3 linked regions of the Schizosaccharomyces pombe genome follow. The gene in region 2 interacts genetically with the main gene of each other region. Each region holds a gene or a part of one and is shown on either strand. Other genes may lie near its edges.

What was found. A genetic interaction does not mean that the proteins touch.
Region 1: mutations in def1 (region 2) and sap114 together harm fitness more than expected from each alone (negative genetic interaction), as found in Schizosaccharomyces pombe (one large-scale study listed by BioGRID).
Region 3: mutations in def1 (region 2) and plb1 together harm fitness more than expected from each alone (negative genetic interaction), as found in Schizosaccharomyces pombe (one large-scale study listed by BioGRID).

Annotation. Positions count from the first base shown.
Region 1 is NC_003424.3:1,170,365-1,176,750, forward strand, and holds sap114 (U2 snRNP-associated protein Sap114), read right to left. Parts: upstream 4,085-6,386; 5' UTR 3,792-4,084; coding exon 3,665-3,791; intron 3,616-3,664; coding exon 3,309-3,615; intron 3,246-3,308; coding exon 2,929-3,245; intron 2,844-2,928; coding exon 2,469-2,843; intron 2,426-2,468; coding exon 2,106-2,425; 3' UTR 1,987-2,105; downstream 1-1,986. Other genes in the region: cardiolipin synthase/ hydrolase fusion protein Crd1, read right to left, coding at 1-97, 140-906, 998-1,492, 1,536-1,592, 1,635-1,762; ept1 (CDP-alcohol phosphatidyltransferase class-I family protein), read left to right, coding at 4,207-4,343, 4,394-5,417. UniProt on the Schizosaccharomyces pombe protein: Involved in pre-mRNA splicing. May be involved in endoplasmic reticulum-associated protein degradation (ERAD) and required for growth at low and high temperatures.
Region 2 is NC_003423.3:567,652-575,788, reverse strand, and holds def1 (RNAPII degradation factor Def1), read right to left. Parts: upstream 4,852-8,137; 5' UTR 4,729-4,851; coding exon 1,837-4,728; 3' UTR 1,469-1,836; downstream 1-1,468. Other genes in the region: Transferrin receptor-like protease Tre1, read left to right, coding at 8,095-8,137.
Region 3 is NC_003424.3:1,072,345-1,078,660, forward strand, and holds plb1 (lysophospholipase 1), read right to left. Parts: upstream 4,350-6,316; 5' UTR 4,275-4,349; coding exon 2,433-4,274; 3' UTR 1,987-2,432; downstream 1-1,986. Other genes in the region: SPOM_SPAC1A6.11 (uncharacterized protein), read left to right, coding at 1,190-1,510. UniProt on the Schizosaccharomyces pombe protein: Catalyzes the release of fatty acids from lysophospholipids. Required for survival under high osmolarity, for normal osmotic stress-induced gene expression, and for nutrient-mediated repression of sexual differentiation.

The DNA of each region.
Region 1 (6,386 bases), on a different chromosome or scaffold from region 2:
CTAAAAGTTTTAGGTGCTGGCAACGATTTATAACGAAGATATGAGACAGCCGAGACGAGCAACACATCCCTTCCAATAATCAAGCTAGCAAGAGTTACTAGATAAGGTTAGATATTACTAATAAACACAAAAAGCATACATGGCATAGTCTCACGCACCGCTAAACATATTGTCAAACAAGTCATTAACGTTTTATCGGCTAACGGATCAAGTACTGTCCCAGCAATGCTGCCTAAATCAAACTTTCGAGCTATATACCCATCAACCAAATCCGTAAATCCAGCATATAAAAAAAAGCAAGCAGCAGCTTTAGTATAATCATAAATGTAAAGATAAGCAATTAATGGAGCTGAAAGGAGCCTTGAGAATGTCAGCAAGTTTGGCAAGGTAAAAATATTCTCACGCAAAGGCCTTTGAATAGGCTTACTGTTATTACTTTTTGTCACAGTGTTTAAAACACGAGAAGAGGTGTGAAATCCACGAACCTCGCCCATTGACTTGTTCAATTTGGCAGCAGGAACGTGTTTGGATAGAGCCCAGCGCACACCTTCCCATACATTATCAGAAACGTGCTTCGCAGAATATTTAGGGCTATTGTCTCCTTGGAAGATACCAGTACGTACTAAAATACTAGTCCAACCGTAATTATTCGCACCACGAATATCACTTTCGGGGTTATCACCAACCATGAAAATTTCCTTGGGAGGATTGGTGATTCCTAAAGTTTTATGCTTCTTCATTAAAATGTTTTTAGCATAATCATAAGTCAGCTTATGAGGTTTTCCATATTTCGTATTTCTTAAGTCCTTTCCAGTAAGTTCTTTAAAAACACTTTCACAGCAAATTGCAAAAGCTCCTTGACCTAAGCGGGGAAGAGGATACTCATTAGGCCAAATTAAATCCGCACTATAAAAGCTGTTAGCATTCACTCATAGTATTCGAGTACAGCTTGCAAAAATATTTTTACACAAAAGATACTTTCCAAGAAATAACTTACTTAGAAAAGTAAATATCGGGACCTTCATTTGCTGTCTTCGAAACTGTTCCTAAAACACCATTCTTCGACTGGCCCAATTCCATCACCAATTGAAGATCCAAACCAAGTCGGACAGGATCGACATAAGTGAAAACTGCTTCAATGGGTCTAGTAACGTCAAAGTCTTTTGCATCTTTAATATCTTCTTCGTTAAAAGATGTGAAAGGCCAAAATGGAGTTCCTAACTTTGCGATGACATCGAGTTCATTGATAACACTTTTAAACCCATACTTTTCAGCAGTTTCACGGACGCTGTTGTCTTTTCCTCCAAGAACCAAGACGTGCTTATACTTATCCGCAAGAGCGCGAAAGGGGGTATGTGATTGACAAAAATCATCCTCTGTTAAACTTACGCTCAATGTCTTGGAAAGACGCTGAGCTCTAACACTCTCATGCATACCACCTCCATTCGTTAACAGAATAAAAGGTATATTATTTTTTTGCAAAAATTTCAAACTTACAAGTTAGTTTGAAAATGGTAGTTCATAGTTAAGCTTACGTCTTCGTTCCTTCTTTCAAACCTCTTCCTCCTCTAATTAAAACTCCATCAATACTGCTTTGGTTAGTTTCAAAAATCGATCATTAATTACTGTATTACTCAAATGCGAAACAAACATCTGCAATAGGGCTTTTAGTAGACGATTCGGTCGTAAACTTTCGAAACGTTGAACGCCCTAACTGCCTGGCAGCCAAATGCCAAGATCTATAATTGATAGTATGTAGCATTTATTAAAGCCGATAAATGAAGAATCAACAATGTAAGAAGTAAAAAATTAAGAGGTTTGTGCGGTTACGTGGTATGACAACTTAAGGATGACGGTGGGCGGGTATGAAAACCAGACCCGCATTTCCTAAGTTAAAATCCAGCTTTGTTTAGTGTATTGGACTTTTTATAATAAAGAATATTTGTATTCTCAATTAGTTGGAGAAAGTCTACAACACCTGGTTTATTTACATCTTATTTATTTCACGAGTTGTAGAAGCAAATTAACTAATAGATTTCGGCGTCCTACGAAGCTTAAATAAAATAAAGTAAAAATTAACAAAATTAAAAAAAGTTCTATGAAATCTACCGGCGTTTATTTGTGGGAGTTGCTCCCCAAGCGCTCTGAGTAGCAGCACGTTTTCTTCGTTCGATTTCCTCTTGAGAGATTTCTACCCCGTTTTGGACGTCAAACAAATCAGTCCGTTGACTAACCAATCTTTTCATATTTGCAGCAACGTTCACGTTCTCTAAATTTAAAGTTGATTTCCTAGATTCTTCAACTTTGCGCTGTTCCTGCCAGCGAGGGTCAAGTAATTTTAGACGCATATGCTCTTCTAGTTCTGTAGCGGGAACCAATTCACCTGAGAAAGGCGATATCTCCATCGGAACTTTGGGCTGGAAAGCTAAACAGGGTCAGTAAAGTTACAATAAGGAATATAAACTTACCCTTTGGTACTGGCTTTTGTACCTTCGGCTGAGTAGTGGTAGACAAAACGGGAGAAGCTTGTGCGGCAGGAGAAACTGAAGTAGTTGAAGAAATACCTCCTTTTTCTGGAGAAGCAAGTGATGGAGGAAGAGAAACACCAAATTCTTGTTTTTTAGGCGCACTTATGGGCTCCCAAGGCTCCGCTGTAGGAGGAGCTTCCTCAATAGTGTAATTTTGGTCAGGCATGGTAAACATGGCAGACTTTTGTTCTAAAGTAGCAGTTTGTAAATCCGCTAAATTCGTAGGTTTAGCTAATTTTGCATGTTCATCGGACTTTGTGAATTGAATCACTTCAACAACGACAAAATCGTTCCAATCAATTTGTGCATATTCCACTAAGACAAGTTAGTTCCAATTCAAATGGTAAATGAAGAATATTGGACTTCCTGAACCAGTTTTTGCATCTCAATATACACTTACACTTCTCTTTTTCGGCTTCTTCCTTTTGTTTTTTCTTTTGGCTCTCCATATGCGATTGCCACCTTACACGCGGCTGAATTTTAGAAAGTAAGCTATAAGGGTCTCTCACATTTTCACGAAGCTCCTGTTCTGGCGAAGAAATGGGCTCTCTAATTAGAGAAGTATATTGTTGAACTATACGCATAAAGTAAGGGTACAATGCATTATTTGGCTTTAAAAAATCAAATTGAGTGTTATTCCACTCTTTTTGAGAAAGACTCACTAAGAAAGAAGAACCACGAACTGCCGCATATCGCGCAGTTAAACGGAGCACGTCTCTAGATTCACGGTTAATTAGCAACTTCAAAGAAGAAGGAAATAATAGTTGAGATGATACTTACAAATCTAGTGATGAAATAGAAGGAAGTGGTTCTGAAAACAAGTACGGTGAGGGAGCAGGAATAGTTGCCTCTATAGGTTTTTGAATGGGACGAGCCAAAGTGGATGTTTTTTGGGTTGACAAGCCTGTGGCATGACTCTTCAATTTTCCCTCCCTCGCTTCAGTTAATTTGTGCTGATAATATGGGTGGTAGGGGTCATTAGCATGCAAGAAAGCAAACTTAGTATTTGCCTGTTCATTCTGGCGAATTTTTTCTTCAAAAGCTGGGCCATTTCTGGCAACGTAACTAGCAGATTTATCAATTATTTCTAAGCTACGTTAGCAGGCGCGTCTATTGTACTAATTACTATGACTCACCTCGAATTGCTGGAGGAGGTAAAATTACCCCTGCAGGGACCGATGAACTTTGATCAGTGATGCTTTTTTGGTGTTCTGTTTCATTATTTGTCGTATTTCTGTCTTGGAATTCCATTAAAGAACTCATATGTGAGACTTATGCAGAAAAAGGTAGTGGTGGAAGGACACTTGTCGCACAAGGCAGATGAAGCGATGGACAAGCGAAAAGAAAGGACTATTGAAATTCAATAGAAGTTTATAAAAGTTTAGGGCGACCTTGCTGCTCTAAACAGTTGTTGCCTAGGGCATCCGTAATCCACTGCGGATGGACAAATAACATCAAAACGGTTGATAGCAACAATTATCCTTACAATTTAGAATTTAAAAGATAGTTATAGTGCAAGTTTTTTTGCAAGCTACATTATACATTTATTTATCGGTAGAAGGTTTATCTGCATTCGTTGCTTTGCCTTTATTTCTACACACTAAGACGCGTAACATGTTTACCCTCTACCAGTACTTTATCGGAGAATAAGGAAAGGATATCCAGGTAGTTTCTCAAGATGCAGTTAAACCGGAAGCAGTTAAAGAATCTTCATAACTATAAATATAGTGCGATTGATAACTCACTTCTTTCAAAATATATTTTGAAGCCGTACTGGTGGAATCAACTTTTGAAGGTGATTCCCATGTCTATGGCGTATGATCTACACCCGTTTGCTTGCTTATTCTTACTAACTCTTTACTTAGACCTAATTTGATTACTTTGATCGGGCTTGGATTCGTTGTTATCAATATCCTTACTATGCTTGTGTACAAGTATCATTATGAGATGGATGCTTTCCCATCATGGGTGTATGCTTCTTGGGCGATTGGCCTTTTTCTTTACCAAAGTTTTGACGCTATTGATGGCTCGCAAGCGCGTCGTACTGGCACATCATCTCCATTAGGTCAATTATTTGACCATGGAGTAGACGCCATCAATACGAGCTTTGAAGTTTTACTGACGATTGAACTGCTGCAACTAGATATGTTTAGCTCAATCCTTACTCAATTTGCCAGCTTATTATACTTTTACATCTCTACTTGGGAAGAATACCATACGGGTACTTTGTACCTTTCATACTTCTCGGGTCCTGTCGAAGGAATTGTAATGGTTATTGGACTATTTGCCCTTACAGCTATTAAGGGTGATTCTTTCTGGCTCAAGCTACATCCCACTCCCGAGTCATGGGGATTTGTACGTTCCTTTCTGCCATACTACACATATGGATCATGCTTGTACAACTTTATGGCATTTGCCCTGCTATTGAATGTCTTACAAAGTTTACGAAATGCTCTTCAAGCCGTCCAAAAGAACAACGGAAGTGTGATTAAAGCATTGAGTGGTATCCTTCCCTATTTCCTCCAATGGATGGCTGTCTTTTCACTCTATGCCAAGTATCCTGCTTTCTTTGAACATCATTTCCTCACTATTTTTTGCTTGAACGCTTTTATCTTTGCTTATTCGGTTGGAGTGGTAATTGTTTCTCACATTACCGAATCTCCCTTCCCATACTGGAATGTGCTTATTCTTCCATTCTTGGTGGATGCCGTGGACGCCTATACTTTTGGCGTATTAAAAAACGTTCAGACGGAATACTTTTTTTGCTACGTTGGAATTTGCATTGGTGTTTACGGCAACTTTGTTGCACATGTCATTGCCATGATTACGGAAGAGTACGGCATTAAATGTTTGACTATTCCATCCAAACCAGAGTCCAAGAAGAATTGAACTAGATGATGATGGTTTGGACAGAATAGAGATGAGAACAAAAGGGTCCAGAGAGATTTTGTCATTGATAACCTTTCGGTCGATCTTTTGTTCTGCAATGTATCTAACGGATCAGAAGTATCAAAATGATCCATTTCCTAGTAGACAGGTTTTTTTCGGTTGTGTGTTTTCTGCCAACAATATGTTACTTTTGTTTGTTTTCCTGCTGTAGTAATAAAAGTTGGTTTTTTTACCAGAACATAATAATGAACAAGTATTTCACTTGCGACTTCGTTCACTAAATGATCCAGCCTTTCGTATCCTTTTAACTAACTGTATATACTGATGAACAAATGGTCCATTTGTCTTCTACACTGCAAACTTGCTTTTCACCGTGGAATACCGGGGCTGCACTAACTAAGATGACTGGTTCCACATGTGCAGACCGGAGCACTTTTCGACAACCTTCTTTTAATTAAGGTTCTTATGGCAGTTCGTAACGATTTAACAATTTCAATAAATAGCCATCGTCCTGTCCCATTGCTTCTTTGGGCATTGGTAGAGTTTGCCCTTTTAAGGCAATCTTTTGCTACATAAAGGTGACTCAAGTTTACGCTGCGATTTTACTACTTTTCTAGCATATGATCTACAAAAGGTCAGCGAAATTTTTCTTTGACTAGGAAAATGGATTGAGGTCATCTTCGGCAAGGCAAGCTGATATTTAATTTAATTGTTCATATCGGCAACATTTCGTAATTAGTTGAAGGGTATGAAAAACGGTTCTACGGTTATCTAGATGTGTTTATTCACTGTTTCAGCATAATATCACTTCCGTTACGTGCGGGGCACTTCGTCATGCAAATTGGTGGTTATATAGTATATATAGAGAGACAAGGCCAGCATTATTAAATCGTCTTCAAGCTCCCTTTTTCCGCTACACTCATAACTTTTACGAAATAGCGAAACGAAAACGAGACATAACGTAACGAA
Region 2 (8,137 bases):
CCCAAATTTACCCTAAATTATCTACCACCATTCAAATCCGCTCTCTACCCAACAACCTCATTTACATGTGCCAATTCCTAAATCACATGTTTACCATGATATGTCTAACGGTATTCGAGGCGTGATTTCTAAAAAGTCATGCAATTCAACATAAATTTTCCCCAAAATTCATCGATAATCCTGTTACCTTTTTTTGTTATAAATATTCATTCCCTTTTCTCTTTTCTTTCACATTTGTCAACGCATTCTCTCACCGTTTCACTTGTCTCAATAGCTTTTTTACAAGAGCGTTCACTCCCATTTCACTTATTTCTTGTCTCCATTTTTTAATTCTCTGTAAATTTTATCCAATTCCTTTCTCAATTGCTTTTATATCGAGAAACGAATTAATTTCACCTGACTATATTGATTTGTAACCCAACCCACTCATCATTGATCGCACTTTTCCTTACCCATTTGTTTACTGGATTCCATCCGATAACCTATGCAATCCTAAAATAGCGAGACTCGTGAAGTAACATACTGCGGGTCTCGCTATTTCGGTGGTGGTTTTCTTCTCACTATTTCTCTATTTCACGATGGGCAAATTTTTCTTTATGATGAAAATATCTTTTTCCCTTTCACGTTCCAAGTTCTGAAATCATTACTTACAAATTACTAAATTTCCTTTCTAACATCTTTCTCACTACTTTCCTAAATTACTCCTCGATGTGTTATTGCCATTGCTCCAACTTTCTCCGTTCTTTATACTTGAAATACAGTTAACCCTTTATAATGACTACCATTTTACTTGCTATTACGACTCGCTATTTTTGCGTTATATTGCTACTATTTTCAACCTTATAGGAATTAATGTTTCAAGACATCGATCTATTGAATTTAATTGGTTTGATTTGATTTGAATTATAATCTACTAGGAGTCTTTTTCCTTTTCAGAACTTTTTCTACGTTTGTGTATGACACTGTCTCTTCTTCAACTACATCTACATGAACGAATCTTGCCAGTAGTGAAGGTTAGACATTCTATTTTTTCATGAGAATTTTACAACAGCGACATGCTGTTTTGCTAAATTTGGATGTTTCAATTTGCTATATTTCTAGAATCAATAATACGTATTATACAAATTTGCTCTTCATTTCAATGTAAATAAAAGTATCAAGTTTTTCTATTCAGTAGACTTAGCGTATAGGGTTGACGTAGTGTTGTTGACTGAAGTGTGGCATATATTACTAGCGAAGCTTTTTTTTTTTTACACTTTGCTTTAGCGAATTCGCTTAACATTTGCCGTCAAAAATTGTTTAAAATAGGAATGCCGAGTGAACCACCCCCCTAAATTGCCAACTGATTAAACGTGTTTCATTAGCACTTGACTTTTGGAAATATAATAATCATTACTTGAAACTAGTTATCCCACTTCGCATTGCTTACCCACACCTACAAATACCTTAACATCAAATCTTTATTTACCCTTTCCCTCTTCCAAAACGCCAGTTTGTTTTAATAATGCAATAAAAAAATACTCTATGAACATACAAGGAATTACCATATAATGGCAACATTACGGCGTGGTATGATATGTTATGATATGAACAAGCAACATTTCAAACTACATAATTAAGCACTATCAAACAGAAAACACATGTGACCACATAGCCATATAAATCACACACATATATATATTGAAAAACTTCATAAATTCGATTGTCCCAATAAAATCGATTTTACCCTTCCATTAATAGCATCTTGTCCGCAATTATTTTTAGCCTATTTTTGAATCCTTATAAAAAGCATTTTCCAACTTCTACGTTATCAAACTTTTTGATCATAAGTTCAATTTAAGCATTACCGTACCAACCTCCTGGTCGGTTTATAAATGACTGGTTGTATGCATTATAGCCTCCTAATCCATTACTACCTGCATTGGTAGATGCTCCAGAGTTGAACGGAAACCCAGCGGGTTGGCTGTTTGCATTGTTGACCTTGTTAGCATTGCTTTGAAAAGAGGTTGTCTGCTGAGTAGCAGCATTGGTCAATGGCGTTTGTTGAGGAGGTAAGCCATAAGGAGAGGCCGCATTGGCACTAAGGTTTTCAAAACTTCCAACATTACCCATAAACATACCAGGAGCCGCACGTCCCATCCCTGACATGGAAGACAAACCACCCAAAGTACTTGACATGCTGTTCGCCCCGGTTACGCCTCCATTTCCAATCACAGAGTCACGATGTCCAGCCGCTTTCTCAGTCATGCCGCTAGTATTTGCAGTGGCATTATTAATTGGGTTGCTAGTTTGTGTTCCACTCATACCACTTACATTGCCAGGCTGTTGTCTGTTGTACACGTTGCTGTGTCCACCAAAGATGGGAGGGAAATCATTAAAGCCGCTCTGAGACATGTATCCTTGCTGGGGCTGTCCAAACTTGTTATTATTGTAAGGCATCGTACCGTATCCATAAGACACATAAGGAATAGGATACATTGGAGGAAATGCATAAGGTTGGGGCTGTTGTTGAGAAACAACAGGGCTAGGAGTCGCTGTTCCAGCAGCAGGTAGAGAAGTAGCATTAGAAGATGCAACCTTGTTATGCATTACCGAGTGCACATCTGGTGTATTCGACGCACTACCAGCGACATTATCATATTGTGAGTATTGATTACGCTCATTATAGTAATGAGCTGCTGGTGCAGCTTGACCATATTCAATAGGAGACATAGTAGTGTATGCTGGATGACTAGTCTGTTGATATTGTTGAGAAGTATTTGAAGCATATCCCAATTCAGTACTATGGTCGATGTGTTGAAAATTGTCGAATGGGCTATTGGCGGAGCGGTTTTCCACAGGATTCATAAATCTAGAAGAATATGGAAGTGCAGTTGTCTCCCCAGCATTTGAAGATGCAGTTTCGTTGTTAAAAGCAGCTCCGGTAGACGGAGGAATAAGACTAGCACCAGCATATGGTTGAGGGGAAATTCCATGTGTAGCAGGAGAATAAATACCGCCATATCCGGCACTTTGTTTACCAACCACCGGGCCACTTGTAGCACTTGTGGATGCAGCGGGTATAGTCGTTTGGGCTGATACTTGAGGAGGGATGGCCGAGACAGAAGAGGCGTTTCCACTGGCCGGTAAATTTACATCGTGTAAACCACGATATGGTGTCTCGTTAACATGAGATTCCTTCAAGTTTTCGGGAACCTTCGATTGTGGAGCACGGCTTTCATATGCTGAAGTGTGTTGTTTCTTTGGGATTTTGGTGGATTCAGCAACTTTGCTCGCCTCTTTTTTTGCCTCTGGCTTTGGTGAAACTGTCTTTTTAGGAAAATAGGAACTTCTTGGTCCAGACTGTGCTATGTTGTCTGAAGAAGACTTTGTCGATTTTTTGTCCTCACCCCCAAGTGTCAAGCTTCCGAAACGCACTTGAACCTTTTCGGGAATAGCAGCAGTATTAGCAACAGGCATAACGACGGGGAATCTATCAGAAAGTAATCGAGCAGTAGTCATACTAGTTGTAGAGCTTTGAGAGCCAACAGCGGCTTGCTTCGCAAAGGAGGGCTTAGGTAGGGAAGCAGAAGAGATGTTGGAAAGCCCAGGAGCGGGCTTGACTGCATTTATGGCAAATGGGGCAGTACTCTTTTTGGGAGCTGAGGTAGCTGTGGAGGGGGTCGTTTCAACATTTGCGGGAGTTGCAGAGTCCTGGGATTTGTGAGGGAAAGGAACAGATGAGGATGACAGTTCAGCAGGTTTTTCGTAAGCAGCGGAAACATTAGTTTTAGAGGGTTGAGAAGGAGCGATAGAGGGTTTAGAAGGTTCGGATTCGGGAGCGGGAGCGGGAGCGGGAGTGACCTTTTTCTTCGACTTTGCAACTGAAGCCCAAGCCTTCTTTATAGGCTTTGAAGATGCAACAGCCTGATCAGCCGCACTGGTCGACTTTGCTGAGGCCGAAGTACCGCCTGCGGTGCCGTTCGTATTTGTTGAAGCAGCGGTATTAGCCGATGTTAAAACTGAAGCTTGTTCATTAGATGTAGTATGATCTTTCATTGAGGAATCTTCATTAATAGTACCAGGATCAACGGAAGAAGACACTGTCGTTGATGCAGGAGCTTTGGTAGAAATTTCTGAGGAAGGAAGATCGCCAGTACCAGCAGGCTTTTCTAAAGAGGATGGTGCATGAACGGAAGAAGGATCTGAGGGAGCTCCTGCTTTTGATTTTCGAACCCCCCGAGAAGTATCCTTAGAAGCGGAAGGTTTCTTTGATTTACGTGTAGCATTACGAAAGGTGGAAGAGACATTATCGGAAACTGGAGCATGACTTGTTGGTTTGGACTTTGTTTTAGGGATTGGCTTCTTTTTAACTTCACCCCATTTGGAGGCGTGACCTTCAGTAATATGCAATATGGTCAGTTCCAAATCCCGGTCCGCTTCTTCTAAAGCAAAACTTAAATCATCAATCGTCCAGCTAGGAAACAGCTCTTGCAATACGCTTAACTGCGAATCACGATCAAATTCGAGCTCAAGCGCATTTGATCCCTCTATATTACTAGTCTGAGACGAATTTGCCGGGCCAGATTTTCCTTTGGTGCCTCGCCTTCCCTTCGCTCCTCTCTTGGCGGAAGAGGATGAAGTTTTATTATCTTGCGATATATTTAACGCTGTATCTGTGTGTTGCTTTTCTGAAACTTGTTCGGTATTTCCGACCTTCTTTGGCCGAAACTTTTTATTCTCACTCATTTTTGATTCTACTTTTCTTTACAAAAATTAATACAGGTCTTGAAAATCGACAAGGCACGTGTATTCGTGCTTCAAGACGATATGCAAGATTTTTCGTGTTATTTAAGGGTAGTGGTTCTGGCTGCGTTTTGGTGTCGTGCAGCATAGTGCTTTTGCTTAAATGGAAATTGCCTATACCAGAGCAAGGTGGTAGTGAATGCGCTAAAGTGCAAACTATAGCTTTCCTTGAAATTTTTATACATAGAAAAACTTATAACGTTATAAAGAACAATGTTATTGTTTAAATTTTACTTTACTTTTTCTTCATTTTTGCGATTACCTTTTCTAAAAGCTTGATTTATATAGTAGTGGAGTGCAGTTTACTATTGTATTTAACGATTTACCGTTGTGTATCTTTATTGCTCTTAAGACAATAGCTAGTTAGCTGCTTGCCTGAATACATGAAAATATGATGAAAGTAGAGCTCATTGTATTAACTTTTCTATTGCCCAATTTCTTCGATACTGTTAAAAGATGTGCAATTCGTTTAGCTAAATTCAAGTTGACTAAACACCTTTCGTTCCATGCTTTGCTATTACAGATTCCTAACACGTTGGTATGTTTAGAAATTTGCAATGCAATATCGGGTATTCAGTTGGTCAATTTATGAAAACTTTAATTACTGCTTCAAGTAATAATCCATCCGTTCTAATTACGCGGCTTCAGTAACATTCGAAGCTCTTCATTCACTTTGTTGGGTTCAAGTGAACCACACTTATAAACGTGATGCCCTTTATCTAAAAAAATAAATATGAAGCCTGCTAATATTAAATTAACAATAAAAACAAGAAACATTGCTTTGGCCGGGAATCGAACCCGGGTCGAATCGATGGCAACGATTCATTATACCACTAAACCACCAAAGCTTGTTAGAATGCTCTATTAAAAAGCATATATCTATTTAATTGTAGAGTTATAAAAACATAGAATATTGATAAAATAACATTATAATTTATTCAAAAAAACTAAATTGTACAGCTGAATAATCGCCTAGTTATATTAAGATAAATTCTAAAAGCATTATTATCAAAGTTTCTGTCAATGCTTATAACTAATGTGTCAAATGGTTTGATGAAGCGTTCGCATTATTTTACTATTTCATCTTTAATTTTGTCATTTTTTACAAATTTTCGTTGTTTTTTAAAAAAAATTGCTGTGAACTTTAGTAGTATCATCTCGCAATTTATATTGATTTTTCTTCTTTTTATTTTTATTTTATTTTTTTATTCAATTGTTAGTAACCAAAATTAAGTCACCATTTTTGGCAATTCAAATGACTAACTAATTATAAAATAATAAAATCAAACGTGCTAAGATTCTATGTTTAAATTGCTAAAGTCAATACTCTCTTCTTGTGAAGAGTCCATTTTCAAAACGACAACATAACAGAAAACTGTAAAGAGTAATGAAAAGAAACCCACATTTCAAGGAATAGCATATCTATCTATTGTTGCACTATAATTTTTTAACAAAAGCGGCACATTAGAAACCATTTTCTCAAATAAAAAATTGATTTTACATTGAAAACTGTCAACGATGAACAATAAACAGTGCATTCGTATGACAACAAGATATGGACAAGTTAATTCGTACGCTAGAATTGTTCTCAAATGTTTACAGATAGGTTTGATATATTTCAAAATCTTTATTTGTCACTATTTTTTACAGTATCATCAACAAAGCAGCATAAAAAATTCAGTGAAGCCGTTAACATTGTAAGAATAAAATAATATTCCGAAAAAAAAAGAAAGGAGCCTACAGCACCCCGGATTCCCATGTTGTCTCCAACCATAGTACTAACGAGGCCCTCAGACGCTTAACTGCAGTGATCGGACGGGAACTGGTGTTTTCGCCTAGGTGTGGCCGTAGACAGTTACTAAGCATATTTAATAAATTTATACACATACCTAAAGCTGCGAACAAGTATTAATCAGGTTTTGAAATAAATGTAATTTATATTCCTTCATGTGAAGCTAATAAAATAAATTGATAATAAAGATATCTTACTTTAAGTTCTCATATGTGTTTAAACTGAGTATTTACAATCCAGCATATTTTGTGTTGTTTGAGAATATGTCTCCAAAAGAAGTGCGTCTTCTTTTATATAAGTAGAAAGTAAAGGGACAAAACAATTTCAATTCTATTCATTCGAAACGCTTATCGGGAAAAGTATTTCCGATTCAGAGGAATAAAAAAGAAAGACAAAAAACTTCAGTGGTTTATTCAAATCAGCCAAGACGAGTCCCAAGTTAAAACGACAAACAGTATTTTAACATTATTGAAAATATCATAAACTAAACCGATTTCAACCCTTTCCAAAATCGACCCTTCTCGAAACTATTGGAAACCAGTTTATATGTAATACAATGGCAAGACTGAATTTCTTATAGTATGTAAAAGCACTGTTTTAAAGCATAATGAAGATATCTCTAATCCCAAATAAACATTGAGCTTGCGAAATTTACGAAGCATATTAGATTGTGTATCTAGAGGTGAGCCTACTTTTTTTATTTTTCTTGATTATCAATGAAAGAATTCTAAAAAATATGTAAATTAAATAGATATAATGTTGAACTTTCGTTGGCTTGTGGGTTGCCATTGAATAAAACTAGTTCATTATCCACCACTTTTCATCAGCCACCAAAAGCACATTCTGCTTAAACGTTTGGCTACAAAGCACGGACACATTGTTTTGCCCTCATTGATACTAAAGTACGTTTCTGATTGAATAGCAGCGAGACTTAGTAGCGTGTAGTCGCTTGACAGCTTTCTTTTTCCCTTCCGATAATTACAACTACTACTTTCTATTTCGAAAGCGTAAAAGTAGTCTTTACATGCTGTATTTTACTGTTATTCTTTGTTATAACAGGTTTTAGAAAAGAAGTAAAATCTTTTTCTTTTCAGAACGGTTATTCTTTTGGTTTTGAAGTTCCAAAATTTCTTTTGTTTCTAGCGCATTTAATTATTTTGAAATATTATTGGGCCTGCATATTTGTTCTTCCTTTTCATTTCTATTTGTGTTCATTCTTTTAATTGTTTGCTTTCGTTTTGTCTTTTCCATTTTTTTCTATATACTTATTCGAAAATCTCATTTACGAAATATATCATCCATCACATCTCACATCCTTATCTGATACTTATTTATTACACATTTTCGACAAATTAGAACTTCCCTCTTAATATATCTTGCGCTTATTGTCTATATGAGCAAAGTCGTCGATTCTTTTGATTTCCTTTAGTTATTATAACCCCCCCTTTTTTGTTGGTTTCTAATAATTCGCATTACTGCGTTTAACACATATATTCTTTCTATACTGACTAAATGAAATGACTGACGAGAAGCATGTTTACGTTCCTCCTCCAAAGGACC
Region 3 (6,316 bases), on a different chromosome or scaffold from region 2:
CAACAACGGAATATTTGTAAACGGATGGTGAAACAAATTAAACCAAAAGCGCCCTACTACGTAAAAATTTTAAAACTCCTTATAGCTGAAATTCACCCGTATTCCAACGCAGCTCTTACTGTATCACTGTATCTGCTTACCGTGCTGTTATTTCTGCTCCGGTATATGAGGATCTGATTATTGTAATTTGTGTCTAAATAAATGACAAGTTAGTATCCAAAGTTATTGATTTTTATTAAAAAGCATAGCGTCTCAATGTTAAGATAAACACTGGATTTTGCTCTTGAATTTGGCGAAACGCTTGACAATTCCATGGTTTATAAAATTTTCTGTTTGCGGTATTGCGGAATCAAATGCGAAACCATTTACCATTTCTGTTCATCGGCAAACGTCGCATCGTAACCGAAAACCTGGGATTCATCTGCTTTATGTTTCATACAAATGACTTGCAGTTTTGCAATTTCATTCAACAAATTCATGAATTCCTATTCTTTTTCTTTTATTCCAATTAAATACAAGCTCATGCCTAGTCTCCAAGCAAATCCCCCCTTACACTTTCTTACCCTAAAAGTTAGTAGTAGCTAAAGTAGCGACTTGTGCGATAATTTTAATATTGGGAAAAGGCAAGTTGAAAGTGATTCAGCCTATATATATATGTATATATATGTAAGCAGAGACACATATGTCTATCTTTGACAGATTTTTTAGATTCCCATTTTGTAGATCAAAAAAGGTCCATTTACATCCCCATGATGTAAATGCCCTTCCGTTCTATGCGAAAAGAGACCGAGACTGTCGGTCCTTTAAATATCGCTTAATATGTAAAGTTGTTGTGTAAATCTATATTTTGAGCAGTCGCTGAGACGCAAGCCTTTACGTTGAATTTGTTGCTCATCTTCTGGTCAACTATGACTGCTTTAAAGTTCACATTGGGATGAATGTTGCTAAGCTATATATCTAAAATCCTTAACGACGGAAACATTTGCAGGTTAAGTATAGGAGAATGTAGCGTTCAACCGGGCTGGTTATTTCAACTGCGCCGCCCTCGGATATTAAGTGTGCCTCTTCGAAACCGGACCTTTCTAAGGAACTTGCAGATTGTCCTTGACTATTATTTAACACACATTACTGGCATCAAATTAGTCGCATTACATTACAACTGGCCGCATTTTACATAATTGATTAAAATATGAATCACAATGTTTATTTATTAACTTCCTTCAATCTTTGGAGTCATGGTGTATATAAAATATCATCAATCTCTCTCAGTAACTCTTTTTTTCCTCATAGTTTCATGTTTGTAAAGTCGCTACATCTAATGACATCACAACATATCTTCAAGTGTCTTTCTTCTTGTAATTATGCTCTTTCAATTCTACATAATATATGTTTAGCCAGTTTTCTTTATTTATCAAAATGTTATTATCATACACACATACTTACTTCTGTTCGATTAGATTTTTGTAAATCGCATGCGCATACCTATATCAAAAGCAAAGCCTCAACTTAAAGTTAACTCGGATCCCATTTCGTTTAGACTTAAAGCATAAAATGCACACTTGCTAAATAATTTTGCAAAACACGTAACTCACAGTCATCGGATTAGAAAGTAAAGCCCGAGGCCGAGCAAAACCCGCGCAACTACTACAATTTTTTTCTCCCATTACTCGTTGTGATGTATTCTATACTGTCTCATCTACATCCCCACTACTTCATTGATTAAATTGCGTACAGTTGATATAATTTGTAAATGATCGTATAATCTGTTTTACGTTAACTAAATTTTTTCATTTCTACATCTCCTTCCTCATCCTAATTAATGAATTATAGGCTGTATGTTAAAGTTCACTATTCCTTGTTCAAGTATAGCAAACCTTTAAAAATCAAATTTTATCATACAAAATATATACATATAAATAATAATTTTTTGAATCAAACAAAACAAAAAAATTACAGTCAACTTATTTATATAGACAAACAACATTCTTATTACAACCAAGAATTAAAAAAATGACTTATTTTCGCAACTATATATAACAGCAACTCTCATAAACAACTAGAACACGTCCAATTTGGAGCCGTCAACAAAACTGAATTACAGCAAACGAAAGCTCACAATAGAAAATGAACAAAAAACATTCCGAAGAGAGGGTAAATTAGAATAAAATACTTTCGGAAGATAACAAAATAGTCTCCCTAATTAGAGCGGAGTGAACGTTCAGTTTAATAATCCGTTAACAAAAACCCATATCGCGTAATTGGATTGATTCACATATATGGCTAGGTTTGATTTATGCTAAGACAGCAGACATTGTATAGATTTTTTTTAAAAACTTTTTTCCAGGCATAAGCATTGCCCTCTATCTTTTGCTTGTGAGCAACAGATATGTCGTATAAATACTGAAGAGAGAAAAGTTTGCATGCGCCTTTCCTTAAATGCCTTCACCAAGACGGCAAGTAGGATTGTAGACAATATCATCATTAGCAGCGCTGTCATCATAAAGACCGCTCCAGCAGTAGTTATAGTAGCATTGTTGGCACTCGGGGCTAGCAGTGATGTTGTTACGCTCCAAAGTACGCTTAACAACGGCACAGGCAAAACATTGACCAAAGTAGGTGTCATTGTCAACGGTAGAGGAAATAAGGCCGTTGGTAAGAAGTTGTTGAATCATGTCTTCAGTGTAGTAGGTGCGATCAGTGGAAATGTTAGTGAAGTAGTTGTAAGGAACGTTGGGAAGATAGATAACCAAAGGAGGAGTGTCACGGGTAACAGTGTGGTTACCAGCAGTGGTGTTACGACCATCACAACCAAAGAAGACAGGGCGATCGTTGAAGTGAAGACTGACAAAGGATTGTTGGCTAGGAACGTAGGGGAAACCCTTAACATTGGTGTTTCCGGCAGCTTGGGCAGCAACGACACGCTCATAAGTTTGGACAAGAGAGTTACCGTTGGGCCAGAGCCATTCACTGTCATCACCATTGTCAACGGCAACGATAACATCGACATCACGACCCTTTTGCAACAAAGGCCACAAAGGAATCTTCTCACCAGTAAGGAAGGTATCAACTAAGTTAAGGGAAGAGCTGGAACCCAAGTTGTTGGCAGCATCAGAATTAGCACTCTCAACACCTTGGAAGGGGTTGGGAATGGAGATGATTTGTTGACCGTTTTCAGAAAAGTTACCTTTCAAGTATTGTTGGATGATACGACCGTTCTTGGTAGAAGAGTCATTGAAGTTACGCATTATCTTGTTGAAGTAAGTAGAAGAAGCACCCATCATGAAACCAAAGTTGTCATAGTTGATAACGCAAGAACCATTGCTGCTAGCACCATTGTTTAAGGTAGTACCCAAGTATTCGGTAGGAATAAAGGAGTTGATTCCATGGTCAAAGGTACCGAAAACGTTGGGGGAAGCTTCAAAGAAAGTAGTGTTAACATTGCTAATATCCTCACCATAGTTTTGGGTAGCAAAGGTAATGATGGGGTAAGGGAAGTTGGCATTGCGGTACCATTCTTGGGAAGTAATACTAGACAAAGAGACATTAGGGAAACCATAAGTAGTGTCACCAAGGGTACGAGAAATCACACGTCCCCAGTAATCGGAAAGACTGATGTTAAAGCCAGCATTGGCCTTTTCGGCAACTTCATTCATAATAGAACTGTAGAAATGAGCGTTGAAAACAATAGCACTCTTGGGATACATCAAAGGGTGGTTGAAAGCCCAAAGTTTGCTAAAGTCGTTAATGGTACTGAAATTGTTGAGAGCAATGCCACCAACAGTCCAGGCACTACCATCAGTACCAACGAGATAGTCAGAGGCTTGAAGGAGACCAGTCAAAACAGTGTGGTTGTCGTGACGAGCATCCATGGCAGAGAGGGCACCAGAACCCAAAATCATGGCACGTAAACCACCACCGGACAAGGCAATACCGATAGAAGGACCTTCAGAGCCAGAAAGAGTATCGGCATTCAAACCAGGCAAGTTGGCGTTACGAAGGAAGTCCTTCATGGCAGTGTTGGTAATAGTAGAACGAGTGCTCAAGTATTCAGACTCGGCGCTAGGAATCTCATTGCTGGAGAGACTCTCGACAATGTTATCAGAGGGACAGTCCACATAATAAGGAGCGTAACTGGGTCCCTCTTGCTTAGTGCTATGCTTCTTGGCACGCTTGAAGACCTTGACAGAACCATCGTCTTCAGCAGCGGGAAGAGCAAGGGCAGAAAGGCAGGATGCCAAAAAGAGCATCCACAGGCTTAATCCGCGGAAAAGCATTTTGAATATTTAAACTAAAATGTTGAGAATAGATATGCAAAGATGTATGCAAATTAAATCCCCAAATGAACGTTCAAAGTTGGGAGTGGGACGGAAAGGGTATATAAGAAAAAAAATTTAATAAACGTCACACGAGTGTATTACTTTCCGAATGACACCCAATCAAGATCTCGGACTGATACTATTCCGTAAGTCGGAGAGGAAAAAGTGGTAAAGTAACAAAAACCTAGAATTTGCAAATAGTGGACGAAAACACAAACCCCACAATAGATAGAACTAAAGAAGGCAGGAAAACGGGACTAAAAACAAAATGAAAGAACCTGGCAAACGAAGTTTAATGCAAAGGTTCAAAATGAATAAAATCTTTTCCCTAAAGGATAAATAATAAATATTCAAAAGGAAGATGTAGGAAAGTGCTAAAAGTACAACGATTTAAAAAGTCCACGACGACCTTTTTTTGTTTGAGTGAGTAATAAGAAAGAGAAAATTAAAAAGGAATAACGACGAGAAAACCGGAAATCGCACCAAAGGATACACTAGGAAAGAAAAGTGTGATGATGATACGAGAAATTATGATGAAGGAATGAGGGAATCACTGAAAAAAGAAATTAAGCCAAATCACAGTGTTGGATCGTAAAATATGTTTTTGGATTCAACTAATGCGAAAACGCTCTCTAACCGAAAGAGTGTTAGTGTTTTCTTTTTTGGGGTATTTTTCAAAGAGCTAAGAAAAAGGGAGCAATCACAAGAAAGGAAAATGCAAAATTCCTCGCTTGGATGGATTAAGATTTAAATAAAAGTAAGGAAGATGATTAGGGATTCCAAAAAACGGAATTTTTTGTTTTGAAACAATGAACAGATCAAGGAAAGTTGTTTGATTGCGATGGTGGTGAAAATGCCTGTGCACCAGCACCACTTATATACCTGGGACCAGTCGCTCGGAACAAGGTTTCAGTGCATACAGTCTATAATTTTACATGGATTATACAAAGAAAAATAAAATAAATCATTTTATGTATTTTATTTTCAAGTTTTTGATTCTCATTTTTTTGACTTCAACTTGCATCTACCCCACAATCTTGACAGAATCCATGTCTGGGGCCCCGTGAGTACCGGCAACTGACCCTCTAAAAATTAGGAAGCAACTGCAACATTGGTCCAGAGCTGCGACGATGTATCCAAGCAACTGGAGTAATAGTGGGATAGAGTTATCATCAAAATAACGCTGCCCACAAGAAAGGATGGGATGTTTGTCTACTGGCAAAAGGTACACTGGGGAAAAATACAAACACTCTACTCACCGTTTAAACCCTTCTATACTACCGCTGGTCAGACAAGCTTCTAATTTTTTTACGGATTCTGTTGTAAATTGTTAGAATTCTTGTTTTTTCTTCGTTGTTCGTCAGTTTAACCCCGCCAAAACCCAAAAAAAAGTGTTTGAAACACTATTCTAAAGGTGTTCGCCCCTCACCATTCCGGTAAGAAATCAGGCAAGTATCCGCTCAAAAGTTTGGCGGGGAAGAAGGAAAAGAGCCTAAAGTCGGACGAACAAATGCGGGGTGGTGTAGAGGAACGCAGTCTAGAACAATGGAGGAACACATGCGCAGTGCAAAAATGTCTACCGCAAGAGCAAGAAAATTTTCGCACCAATTATTAGTTAAATGAGGAGCATCACATGAAAAAGTGGGACATATCCAATCACCTCTCAGTATTTTGTTCACTTTGCTCCCCTCGTTTTCCCATAGTGTGGAGAACATTCATGAAAACCAAACCTTCCGCCAATCAAATTACGGTTTGAAAAATTCTACGTTTCTATTCGCCGTCATTCGGAACAAGCGAGCTTCCACCTTTTACGTTGACATCATTGAAAAATGGAGATAATGGGGTTAAGGAAAGTGTGGGGCTAACCTTCCAAGTTACCTTTCCCTCCATGACGTGGAGTACATTTAGGCTCGTAAACTAACGTGCGTACGTTGGACTAGCTATGCTGCACGCTATTTGTCAAAAAAGGATTTGCAGCATGCGAGCGAAAGTCAACGAAG